Macaca fascicularis: one gene and its partners. The protein of the gene in region 3 interacts with the protein of the main gene of each other region in a biochemical or structural test. Links are inferred from orthologs where the notes say so. Each region holds a gene or a part of one and is shown on either strand. Other genes may lie near its edges. The genes, in order: ARRB2, OCRL and CLTC.

Region 1 (3,751 bases), about 42 Mb from region 3:
AGGGCTGGGATTACGGGCTTGAGCCACGGCGTCTGGCCTGTATTTTGTAGTTTTTTAGTAGAGACAAGGTTTCCCCAAGTTGGCCAGGCTGATCTCCAACTCCTGACCTCAGGTGATGCACCCGCCTCAGCCTCCCAAAGTGCTGGGATTACAGGCGTGAGCCACCACGCCCGGCCTTAGGTTGCAGTGAGCCAAGATTGCGTCACTGCACTCCAGCCTGGGTGACAGAGCAAGACTCCATTTCAAATAAATAAATAAATAAAAAATAAAATAAAATAAAACTACCCAGTGATGGAGGTCCTAATGTCTCTATTTTCCAGGTGAGGAAACTGAGGCAGAGAGAGGTTAAGTGTTTTAAGGTCACAGAGAGAGTAAATGGTGGGAATTAATAGAAACCAAGGCGGTCTGGCTCCGAGTCCATCCTCTCAATCAATATTACACTATCCGTCTCTGTAGCTGGCATCAATAGTTTGTTCAATTGAAGGGTATTCGCTTTCCAGTTGCTGAAACAATTTAAGCCTGGACTCCACCCACTGCTGGGAGGGTAAGGAAGTGTTTGGCAATCCCAGTGATCTGGCCAATTGTGAGCCTATTCTTTGAAGCATCACCTTACTCCTTCCAATCCACTCTGCCTCAGCAGTGATCCCTGGAAAGGATCCTCAGATAGACAGCAGAACGTGAAATCCTGCCAACTAGCCCATCCCTCCTCCAACTCTACCACCCCATTCCCAGAGGACCCCAATGGGCAGGTTGCCGCAGTATCTGGGTAAGACTTAACCATCTTTCCATCTGGTCTACAGCTCTGACAGCTGGAGCATATAGGAGAGCAATGACTCTGGCCTTTGGCCCTAAATGGTTTCTACCATAGGCCCAGTTTCTGCTACAACTTCACTTGTCCCTTCTTCCCAGAAAGCCAAGCTGTCCAAAGATTATAAGGTAAAGGGTATGGAGGCTCCCAGGTATTCCTAACCAATAAAAGAGAATAAACATCGATACGGTGGCAGCTAGAATAAACATCCTATCTTTTGTCCCAACTTGGGGGCTGAGTGCTGTGGCATCATCCAGGCTCTCCCTCCCCTTTGCTTCTGGTTTTCCTCTTTGTCCCAGGGTGTCCTCCCATTAGGAGCCCTGGCACAGGGCTGTGACAGCCACAGTCAGTGGGCCAACTGCAGTGTGGCTCTGGGGCAACTGCCCTGGAGCAGCTGCAAGGCACCTGCCCTTTGGATCCTAACCCAGCCACCTCCTGCCAGGCTGAGGAGGAGCAGCGTGCAGATACTAGGCTGGCCAAGGAGGCAGAGTGTGGGGATGACCAGGGAGGTGCCCAATGGGGGCAGGGGTAGCTGAAGCAGATGTCCTTTCACACTTCCTGCTATTCTCTCCATTTCCTGTGGCCCAGAATTTGATGGAGGTGAGGGAAATTGGGTCAAGTCAGCAGTCCCCTTTGGTCCATCTGTCCCACTCCTTGAACCACATAACGGAAATCAGGGGCCTCCCACAAGGCAGCAACTTCCCCTTTCTCTGGGATGTTTAAACCCTAATCCAGGACACCGATCATCTCTCTGATGATCTCTTTCTGATACTCATCTACTTGACGCTCAGAAACCTGGGTTCTCCTACTCTATAGGTTGGAAGTGGGGTCGATATGATGCTTTGCAGAGCAAGCCAGAGCTCAGGACCAATTCCCTATTCCCGATCCCCTCTGGGTTGAGGCCTACAGCCCCAACCTTTCTGTCTTTTGCTCCTGCTCCCCTGGGACTCAGGCATTCACCCCTTACCCCTTGGGGGTGTTGAGTCACAACAGGAAGTGGATTTTGCTAGAGACCAAAAAAGAGAACTCGGGGTATCAGTGGAAGGAAAGAGCCTCGATTGCACAGAAAACATCCGGGGAGTGGACGCGCGCCCAGCGTGAATACTGCCTCCCCCACCCCCAGGGAGAGGGATCCGATCTAGTTTCAGGAAGGGTCAGGCTCTCCCAAGATGAAGCTGTTGTTGCTCCTGGCAACCCAGGGGAAGGTAGAAGTTTGGATGAGGAGCCACCCGGCCCTCGGGACAGGTGTGGGCAGCGCGACTACCTGGGGGATATTGGACAGGAGGCTTTGCATTGGCTTGGCACGAGTCTGGAGGGGATCCCCCTCCCAGCATCCAGCCTCCCCGTACACGACCCCTCGGGGCCAGCCACCTGCTCCTCCCTCCGTCCCTGCATCGCAGCCTGCCCAGACTCCTGGGCACGGGAGAGCCCAGTAGTCTGGCCCCACATCCCTGAGAGAACCCCGACACCGGTTTTTCTGATCCCCCTCCGGCCTCGCTTTCTGCAGGGGCCCGGGCATTTCCCCCCAACCTCATTATCCTCGAGGACCTGCGCGTGCGGCCCCGGATGGCTGTCCCTAGGGACCCAGGCGTCCGGCCCCCAGATCCTCTCCGCGGCGTCCTCGTCTGGGACCGTCCCAGCCCCCGCCCCGAGCCGCCGCCCATGCCCCGCCGCGTGGCCCCACCTCCCTTACCTGGTCCCGGGTTTCTCCCCCATGGTGCGCGCGCCCGCCGCCCGCTCGGTTCGCGGCTCGCTCGCAGCCTCCTCGCCCGCTGCCAAGATCCCTGCTCCTCCCCGCGCCAATGCGCACGCGCGCCCTCCGCGCTCTCGCCTCTTCCCCCTCCCTCCCGGCCCGGCTCTGGTCTGGGGGAACCGGGGCCAGATGCGTCAGCCGGATCGCGCGCGCCGCGGCGCTGCCCGCCCTCTCCTAGCAGACACACAGGGCCATTGGCTCCGCCCCCAACCCTTCGCGTTCCGTCCCAGCCGGGGAGCCCTCCCCCGCGCGCGGGGCCCGCTCCCGCTCTTCCCGCCCATCTCCCCGCCCCGCCGCAACCCCTTGAAACCGATTGGGCCCCCCTAAACCAAGGCTCCCGCCTTCCAGGGGATCTAAGTCTTTCGATTGGCCCTCGGCATCCAGAACCTTTAGGGGTCTCCTCCCCTTTGTTTGCTTTCTCAGTGGCGGTGGGGGCGACCGGGCTGTTGGGGGCGGTGGAATGAGCTGAAGCGCCGTCTGGGAAGGAGGATGGTGGGGGGGAACACGTGGGTGAGCAGTTCAATTGCGTGATACTTGCTTCAGTGCGCGCAGCTCACCTGCTCCACGCGGAGCGTACCGCCTTCTGTGGCCAGCCCTCCCGCTTCTTCACCGCAGCGTGTCAGCTCCTCCTGGTGTCTACATTTGATTTTCGCAGGGTTCCCTTTTCCAATGTCTCTGACTCTCCATCTCCTTCACCCACCCATCCCAGCTAACATCCACTCACTCACTCGCTCGCACCCATCGGTCCATCTATCGACCCACCCATCCGTGCCTATTTTATGCTATTTACTATGCCAATCGATGGGGACACATATGAATTACCATGGCCCCTGACTTCCTAGAATAGTTGAGGAGACACATACACAGGTATTACCCAGGAATGCTATTACAGAGGTCTGAGTCAGAAGACACAGCCACTAACAGCGCTCGGCCCGGGCGGGGGTGGAGCGGAGAACATATGAGGACAGTCTTTCTGAAGGATGTGCAGAAGTTTTTTTTCGTTTTCTTTTTTTTGAGATAGAGTCTCGCTCTGTTGCCCCGGCTGGAGTGCAGTGGCGCGATCTCGGCTCACTGCAACCTCCGCCTCCCAGGTTCAAGCACTTCTCTGCTCAGCCTCCCGAGTAGCTGGGATTACAGGCGCCTGCCACAATGCCTAGCTACTTTTCATATTTTTAATAGAGACAAGGTTT
Region 2 (3,751 bases), on a different chromosome or scaffold from region 3:
AGTACACACATTTTGAAATTTTATTTAGCTAAATGTCTTATTCTCATTCCATATTCCAAGCTCATAAAGATACTCAGCTTTTTTCTGAGAGTTATAAAGTTTTGCTTTTCACATTTAGATCTTTAATCCACCTAGAATTGATTTTTCTTCCATGGTTAGAGGTAGGGGTCTAATTTTATAGTTTTCCATATGGATAAGCAGTAGTCCTACTACCACTTAGTGGATAATCCATTATTTCCCCACTGATTTGAAATGTCCCACACGCTGCATATCAACCTTCCATATATGTGTGGTCTGTTTGGGGGCTTTATATTGTGTTTCATTGATTGTCTATCTCCATAGTATACTTTTAATTACTACAGACTTACAGTCAGTCTTGATATTTAGTGTATTATATATTCTGGAACAAATGAATAACACAATCGAAAAATTACTTTGGGAAAAATATTGTTATGGTTGTCAACAGAGTAAACAGGTCAAAGGACAGAGTAAACCCAATAGGATTTATTTAAAGAAAAATGCAATAACCCAGATAGGCTATCACAAGGGCTTACAATAAAGTTATGGCAGTGCGAATGGAAAGAAAATAAGGAATCTAAAAGTAATTCCATGTAAAATATTAACAGGGTTTGTTGACTGATTGGATATAGAGATTAGGAGGGGGAAGACAATATATGGCTTTTAAGTGAAATGATAATGAGTTAGTTTTGTGACGTAGTGATGTATTAACAATGGACTCTATTAGGTAACAGGTCTGGGCCAGGGATATATATTTGGACATTGTCTAGTTAGAGGTGACCTGGAGGGGATGCAGAGGAGGAGCAAAGGTCTGGGCTTTGGGGAATTCTCTGATATAGGGCATAGAAGAAAGAAGAGGAAGGGAAATGGTAGGATAACCAACACAGAGCATTATAACCTTAAGAAATATATATATATAATATTACATATATAATATATATTATATTATATATAATATTACATATATTATATATTATATTATATATAATATTACATATATAATATATATTATATTATATATAATATTACATATATAATATATATTATGTATAATATATATTATATAATATACAAATTTTATATATTTTATATATATATTGTTTCATATATGGATGATGTGGGTCGTATTGACACAACAGGTTTGAGATCCCCCATAGGTGTGACTGTGTTTTGTTTCTGTGGCCATCTTCAAAGTCCTCAGAACAATTTTGATGTCACAGGTGGCATTTAAACCCCATTCCTTGCTGGACGTAGTAGGGACGCCCCCAGTCCGTCGGGTCTCTCGCTGCAGTTCCGCAGGTTGGCCGCAGGGAGCGGAATCTGCGGCGGCCTGGAAAACTGGCGGGGGCGCGAGGCGCCGCTCTCTCTCGGGTCAGATTCTCAGCTCCCAGCTCCCCGCTACCGGCTCCCGGCTCCCGGCGCCCGGCGCCCGGCGCGGAGCGGTTCCTCAAACGACACGCAGCCGAGGTGGGTGGGTGGGTGTGGGGACTCGGGAGCCACTGTCGTCGGATCCGCCCGCAGTCCGCTGTCCCGCCGAGCCCGGAGGCCGCCTGGATGGAGCCGCCGCTCCCGGTCGGAGCCCAGCCCCTTGCCGTATCCGCCGGAGAGAAGGGGGAGGGGAGACCGCGCAGGGCCGCGGGTGGGGGTCGGGGGCCCTGCGGAACACGGCGGGGCGGGGCAACCGGGTGGCCCAGAGGCCAAGCAGAGTGGGGGAGGGGGCCGGCGCGGGAGGCGAAGCCGGGCGGGGCGGGTGAGGGCGGCCGGGGCGGGGGGTGGAAGACCCCCTTCGCCCCGCAGTGCACCACTCCTCCCCACCGCGCTTCCAAAGGAGACCCTTGACTAGCGCCCGCATACTGTCGAGGGTATGGAGATGAAGGGTCCTCTCCGGGAGCCCTGCGCCCTGACCCTAGCCCAGAGGAACGGGCAATATGAGTAAGTAACCACCTGATTCCCACAGAGGAGGTGAGCCTGCCATTACCTCCCAACCCCAAACCGCGACGGGTCACCCACTGTCCTCCTACTAAGGCCACACGGGCAACAGGTTCAGGTCCAGGTGTGAAGTGCCAGTGCTCTCTAACCTCGGGGCTTTGTCCTCAACTTCCAAGCCTCTGGATCTTGCTTGGCAGTGTGGCTCAGTGGAAGGACTGAATGGGCGGGGAAGCAGGAAGCCTGGGTTCTTAGTTCCTGCCCCTGCAACTGACATGTGTTGTGTAACGTTGGGCAAGTCAATAAAGCTTTCTGGGCCAAAGTTAACTCTTCAGTTTAATAAAACCATTAACTGCCTTACCTTATAGCCTTTGGAGTTATAAGTGGGGGAAAAATAAATGCGAGAGTGGTTTACAAAACGTAAAAATGCTATGGAAATGCCTCATTGTTCACGTTACAGACTTGTCTTAACCCTATTCAGCTGGTTTCTCCAGTCTCCCTACCCCCTTATCCCACTTGTTTGAAGGCATATTCATTAATTCAGTAATGGTTTAGTGTAGGCCAGAAACTGCCTCACTTACTGATTTGACTGTTAGAAAATGTAATGAAATGTGTAGAGATAGAAATAACAGTATTTTATCAGTGTGTCACCTTCCTCTCTGCCTTAGACATAGGAACTCAGTAAATACTGTTGAATGATTGATCAAAAGATTATTTTGATAAGCTATCACCATAGCTGCTAACCTCTATTGTCACTAATGCCTCATCTCAAAAGTATCCATGGTGACCTTTACATATCATAGGTCCCTATCCCTGTGTGCCCAAGACACCTCCCTTGGATATTCACTGGCTTCTTGGCATAATATTCCTTCCCAGTTTAAAAATTGTTCACTTAAATCTTGCCATCTCCCAACATTGGGTTCTGCCTAAAACCAATTTCCTCAGTCCCCACTTTTAGATCCTCTGTGTCTATGCTGTCTGATTTACATGGAAGAAATCCCCACTGGCCCAACCTGCTCTTTTCTGAGACTATTGGTGCCACTGTAACTGGATGTCAGCTAGTTCTATGAAGTAGCTCCTTCCTAGGTCCTGCTTAGTCAGCTCTATTGGGAAGTTCATCAAACCCAGATTTCATCCAACCCTGGAAGACTAGTTTAATGAAACTAAATTCAGAATTTAATAAAACTAAATTCAGCAGAAAAGTGGAACACCACTAACATTTCCAAAGGCTAGAGTGGGTTAGAGAGAGGTGACCCTTGAGCAAACCAGTAAAACTTCTGTGCCTTGGTTTCCTCTAATGTAAAAACAAAAATCTGAAGATTGAATAGAATAGCTACATTACTGAGATGACCACAGCCCAGAAGGTGGTCCCTCGGATTAGTAGATTTGGAACTCTGTTGAGCTAATAAGGAAGTCTTGTGTTCCAATTCTGTGTAAGTTATGGGGGTATAGTTGGGGGTATATGTGGGGGTATGGGGTTGCTATATAACTAACACTAATATATAAATAACACTATAAAACTAACAACTATATAACTAACAACTAATATAGTTGTTGCTATATTAACAGTTTATAAACTATATAGTTTTAAATATATATAAACTATAGTTTATATATAAACTAACAACTGATACAGTTGTTGCTATATAACTAACACTCAATGACTGCTTATGTGCCAGGTACTGTTCTAAGCACTTTTCATTAGTTAGTTCATTTAATCCACGTGCGAGGGATAAAATAGTAATATCATTATCCCCCTTTTATAGATACAAAAATTGAAGCACAGACAGGTTAAGTCACTTGTTTG
Region 3 (3,651 bases):
GGCAATTGAGGACCAGAACTTAGCCACCCAACAGTGATTACGTTAGTTCCCTGCATAGCAGTGGTTCTCAACTGAGGTGATTTTCCTCACAGGTGACACTGGCAATGTCTGAAGACATTTTTGGTTGTCACAACTGGTGGAGCTGACGCTACTGGCATCTAGTGGGTAGAAACCAGGAATGCTGCTAAATATTCTACTAAATATTCTACATCTACAGGAATACCCCTCTACAATGATTATCCAGCCTTAAATGTCTATAGTACTAAGGTTAAGAAATTCTGCTAAATAGCAACAAATCACAAAATGCCCTTGGCGAGAATCACCTGCTATTGTAAGAGTCAGACATATAAGCATAAAATGTTATTATACCCGATCATTAGTACAGATTGAGTATCCCCTATCCAAAATACTTGAGACCAGACATGTTTCAAATTTTCAACTTTGGAATATTCGCTTTATAATTACCTGATCAGCATCCCTAATCTGAAAATCCAATTTCTGAAACGCTCCAACAAGCATTTCCTTTGAGCATTATGTTGGTGTTCAAAAAGTTTCAGGCTTTGGTGCATTTTGGATTTTCAGATTAGGGACACTCAACCTGTATTTTCATTTTATACAATTTCAACACCACTACATATTTTTCTCTTAAAATTCTACCTTTCATTCATCTATAAAATATCCAAACAGATGGTCTTGTTCACTGCATATCCTTAGGATCCAACATAAAAGGGCCTTGACAACATTTATTGAATAAAAATTAAAATGTCCCATAGAACAAATTTTTAGAAAGACAAGATTTCCAGGCCAGGCACGGTGGCTCAAGCCTGTAATCCCAGCACTTTGGGAGGCCGAGACGGGCAGATCACGAGGTCAGGAGATCGAGACCATCCTGGCTAATATGGTGAAACCCTGTCTCTACTAAAAAAATACAAAAAAAACTAGCCAGGCGAGGTGGCAGGTGCCTGTAGTCCCAGCTACTCGGGAGGCTGAGGCAGGAGAATGGCGTAAACCCGGGAAGCAGAGGTTGCAGTGAGCCGAGATCCGGCCACTGCACTCCAGCCTGGGCAACAGAGCGAGACTCTGTCTCAAAAAAAAAAAAAAAAAAAAGAAAGAAAGACAAAATTTCCAATAGCCTGATCATAAGCATACCTCTTCTTGGCTATCTTAAGTACTTTTTAAAAAAACTCAAAAACTCCTACTTACCTTCAAAACTCTTGAAAGATTCAAAAAGTTCAATCAGAGACTGAGTTGACAGTTGTTCATGATATTTAGAAGCCACTTGAACACAGATCTGCAGATTCTGACGAATGTTGGCAGACAGCATGGCTCTGAGACATTCTAGGGAGTCTTCTACTGATAAGGAACCAAAGTAGTTGACTAACCACTACAAGACAAAATAAATGAATGAATGAATAAATGAAATAACGTTGAACCTCATGGTGGTATGAAATCATTAATATTTAGTACCACAAACACATTTTCAGTGTACCTATTAATCACAACTAACACCATCTATCAGGTAAGAAACTGAAATACCTCAGGGTTAAGAAGATGGGTGTGAACCACTGCACGTTTTATATCATATAAATCAGTGAAGTGTTCTAATGCACGCTGCAGTAGGCCAGCCTTTTCACACAGTTGAGCAATGTGAGCCCGGTCATAATGTGTGAACATCTGATTGCCTAGAATAGCATCTGCAACCTGTAAAACCACAAACAAGGAAAGTTAATTGTCCACTCCATTTATATGAGTAATTCAACATCCATTACAGATTAAGGTTTAATAGTGAACTGTTAAAGAAAGTACAAAAGAATATTATAATAGCTAAATTTTCTTGTATAAGGAGTAGGCATCTCAGTAGCTTTGCATGACAATCTGAGATGCTCTGCACAACTACTAAAACAATGTTGGAAACATGCCTAAAAAGCATTAAAACACATACTTGAGGCGCATGCATAAGGTTCATCTCAAGTAACCGCGTCTGTAAAGGACCTTCAGATGGGCGATTATTCTTCAGAGCATCAAGCAAGAATGCAGTACATTGCTGAATTAGATTGTATTCCATAAAGACATCTACAATCTACAAAAAAAATAGATTTAAAAGAAATTGTTTTAAGATACTATGGAGAGTATGTAGACAAAATTATGCACGAGCTCTTTCTTTACCTGAGAATTTTATTTGGACAATATGAACACTTTAAGAACAAATTTTTGTCCTCTAGAGAACACAGTTATTTTCAGTTCTGATAAAAACTACAAAATATTTCAAGATATTACATAATAGCAGAATACAATTGAACCAATAGACCTTTATTTTATTATTTTATTTTATTTTTTTGAGGCGGAGTTTTGCTCTTGTTGCCCAGGCTGGAGTGCAATGGCACGATCCCAGCTCACTGCAACCTCCGCCTCCCAGGTTCAAGCGATTCTCCTGCCTCTGCTCCCAAGCAGCTGGCATTACAAGCATCTGCCACCACACCTGGATAATTTGTTATTTTTAGTAGAGACAGGGTTTTGCTATATTGGCTAGGCTGGTCTCAAACTCCTGACCTCAGGTGATCTGCCCACCTCAGCCTCCCAAAGTGCTGGGATTACAGGCGTGAGCCACCATGCCCAGACTGACCTTTATTTTTATAAACTTTTGAAAAACAACAGCATAAACAATATGAAGGACTCTGACTCACACTTCCAAATGCATCTCTTCCCTCTCCCCATACCCAGTGGCAACTACTATCCTGTTTTATCATCCCCATGTATTTTTCATATTTTTAATACATATATATCTCTAAATAAGATGTTTGTTTTGCATGTATTAAAACTACATGCAGATGGTTTCATATTATCCATTCTTTTGCAACTTGCTTTTTTTTGCAAGGCATTTGAGGTTTATCCATATAGAGTGACAAAGCTTTAATTTCTACAAACTCTAAGTTTCTTTTTTTTTTTTTTTTCTTTTTAAGAGAGTCTCACTCTGTTGCCCAGGTTGGAGTGCAATGGCATGATCACAGCTCACTGCAAACTGGACCTCCAGGCTCAAGCTGTCCCTCCACTTCAGCCACCTGAGTAGCTAGGACAACAGGCATGTGCCACCACACCCAGCTGATTTTTTAATTTTTTGTAGTTACAGGGTCTCACATGTTGCCCAGACTGGTCTTGAATTCTTGGCCTCAAGCAATCCTCCCACCTTGGTCTCCCAAAGTACTGGGACTACAAGCGTGAACCACCACGGCTGGCCCCCACTCTCCATTTCAATCAGCTTCTACAAAATATATTGTAATCACATTACCTGTGTGATGTCAGCAAGAGGCTCTTCATCTTGAACTAACATTTGGGCAAACTGCTGTCCCTGATCTGGACTGATTCGCATTACATTTCTCAGCAGAAATATCCAATCTGGAGTGTATCCAACCTATAAACAAACAAAGACTTAAACGCTGCTTCTAAGTTTCAATTTCATAGCATTTAAAGACTTTTTCTACTATAAAATCTTGCTAATATAGAACTACTTGTGAAAGCACAAATTCATTTTCGATTTAAAGTGCCCAGTTAGACCCTGATGATGACATATTTGAATAAACACCTGTCAATTTTTATAACTGGCTTATCCATTTTCTTCTTCTTTTTTTTTTTGAGACAGGGTCTTGCTTTGTC

The links.
Region 1: the proteins of CLTC (region 3) and ARRB2 form a complex in vitro, tested with the Homo sapiens proteins (3 studies listed by BioGRID and IntAct, with this or other methods). The link is inferred for Macaca fascicularis from reciprocal best matches to the Homo sapiens genes CLTC and ARRB2.
Region 2: the proteins of CLTC (region 3) and OCRL form a complex in vitro, tested with the Homo sapiens proteins (2 studies listed by BioGRID and IntAct, with this or other methods). The link is inferred for Macaca fascicularis from reciprocal best matches to the Homo sapiens genes CLTC and OCRL.

Annotation. Positions count from the first base shown.
Region 1 is NC_088390.1:4,804,894-4,808,644, reverse strand, and holds the start of ARRB2 (beta-arrestin-2), read right to left. Parts: upstream 2,496-3,751; 5' UTR 2,473-2,495; coding exon 2,339-2,472; intron 1-2,338. UniProt on the Homo sapiens protein: Functions in regulating agonist-mediated G-protein coupled receptor (GPCR) signaling by mediating both receptor desensitization and resensitization processes.
Region 2 is NC_088395.1:135,811,803-135,815,553, forward strand, and holds the start of OCRL (inositol polyphosphate 5-phosphatase OCRL), read left to right. Parts: upstream 1-1,380; 5' UTR 1,381-1,572; coding exon 1,573-1,611; intron 1,612-1,721; exon of another isoform or gene 1,722-1,870; coding exon 1,871-1,950; intron 1,951-3,751. UniProt on the Homo sapiens protein: Catalyzes the hydrolysis of the 5-position phosphate of phosphatidylinositol 4,5-bisphosphate (PtdIns(4,5)P2) and phosphatidylinositol-3,4,5-bisphosphate (PtdIns(3,4,5)P3), with the greatest catalytic activity towards PtdIns(4,5)P2.
Region 3 is NC_088390.1:47,042,319-47,045,969, forward strand, and holds part of CLTC (clathrin heavy chain 1), read right to left. Parts: intron 3,410-3,651; coding exon 3,287-3,409; intron 2,081-3,286; coding exon 1,943-2,080; intron 1,702-1,942; coding exon 1,537-1,701; intron 1,385-1,536; coding exon 1,204-1,384; intron 1-1,203. UniProt on the Homo sapiens protein: Clathrin is the major protein of the polyhedral coat of coated pits and vesicles. Two different adapter protein complexes link the clathrin lattice either to the plasma membrane or to the trans-Golgi network.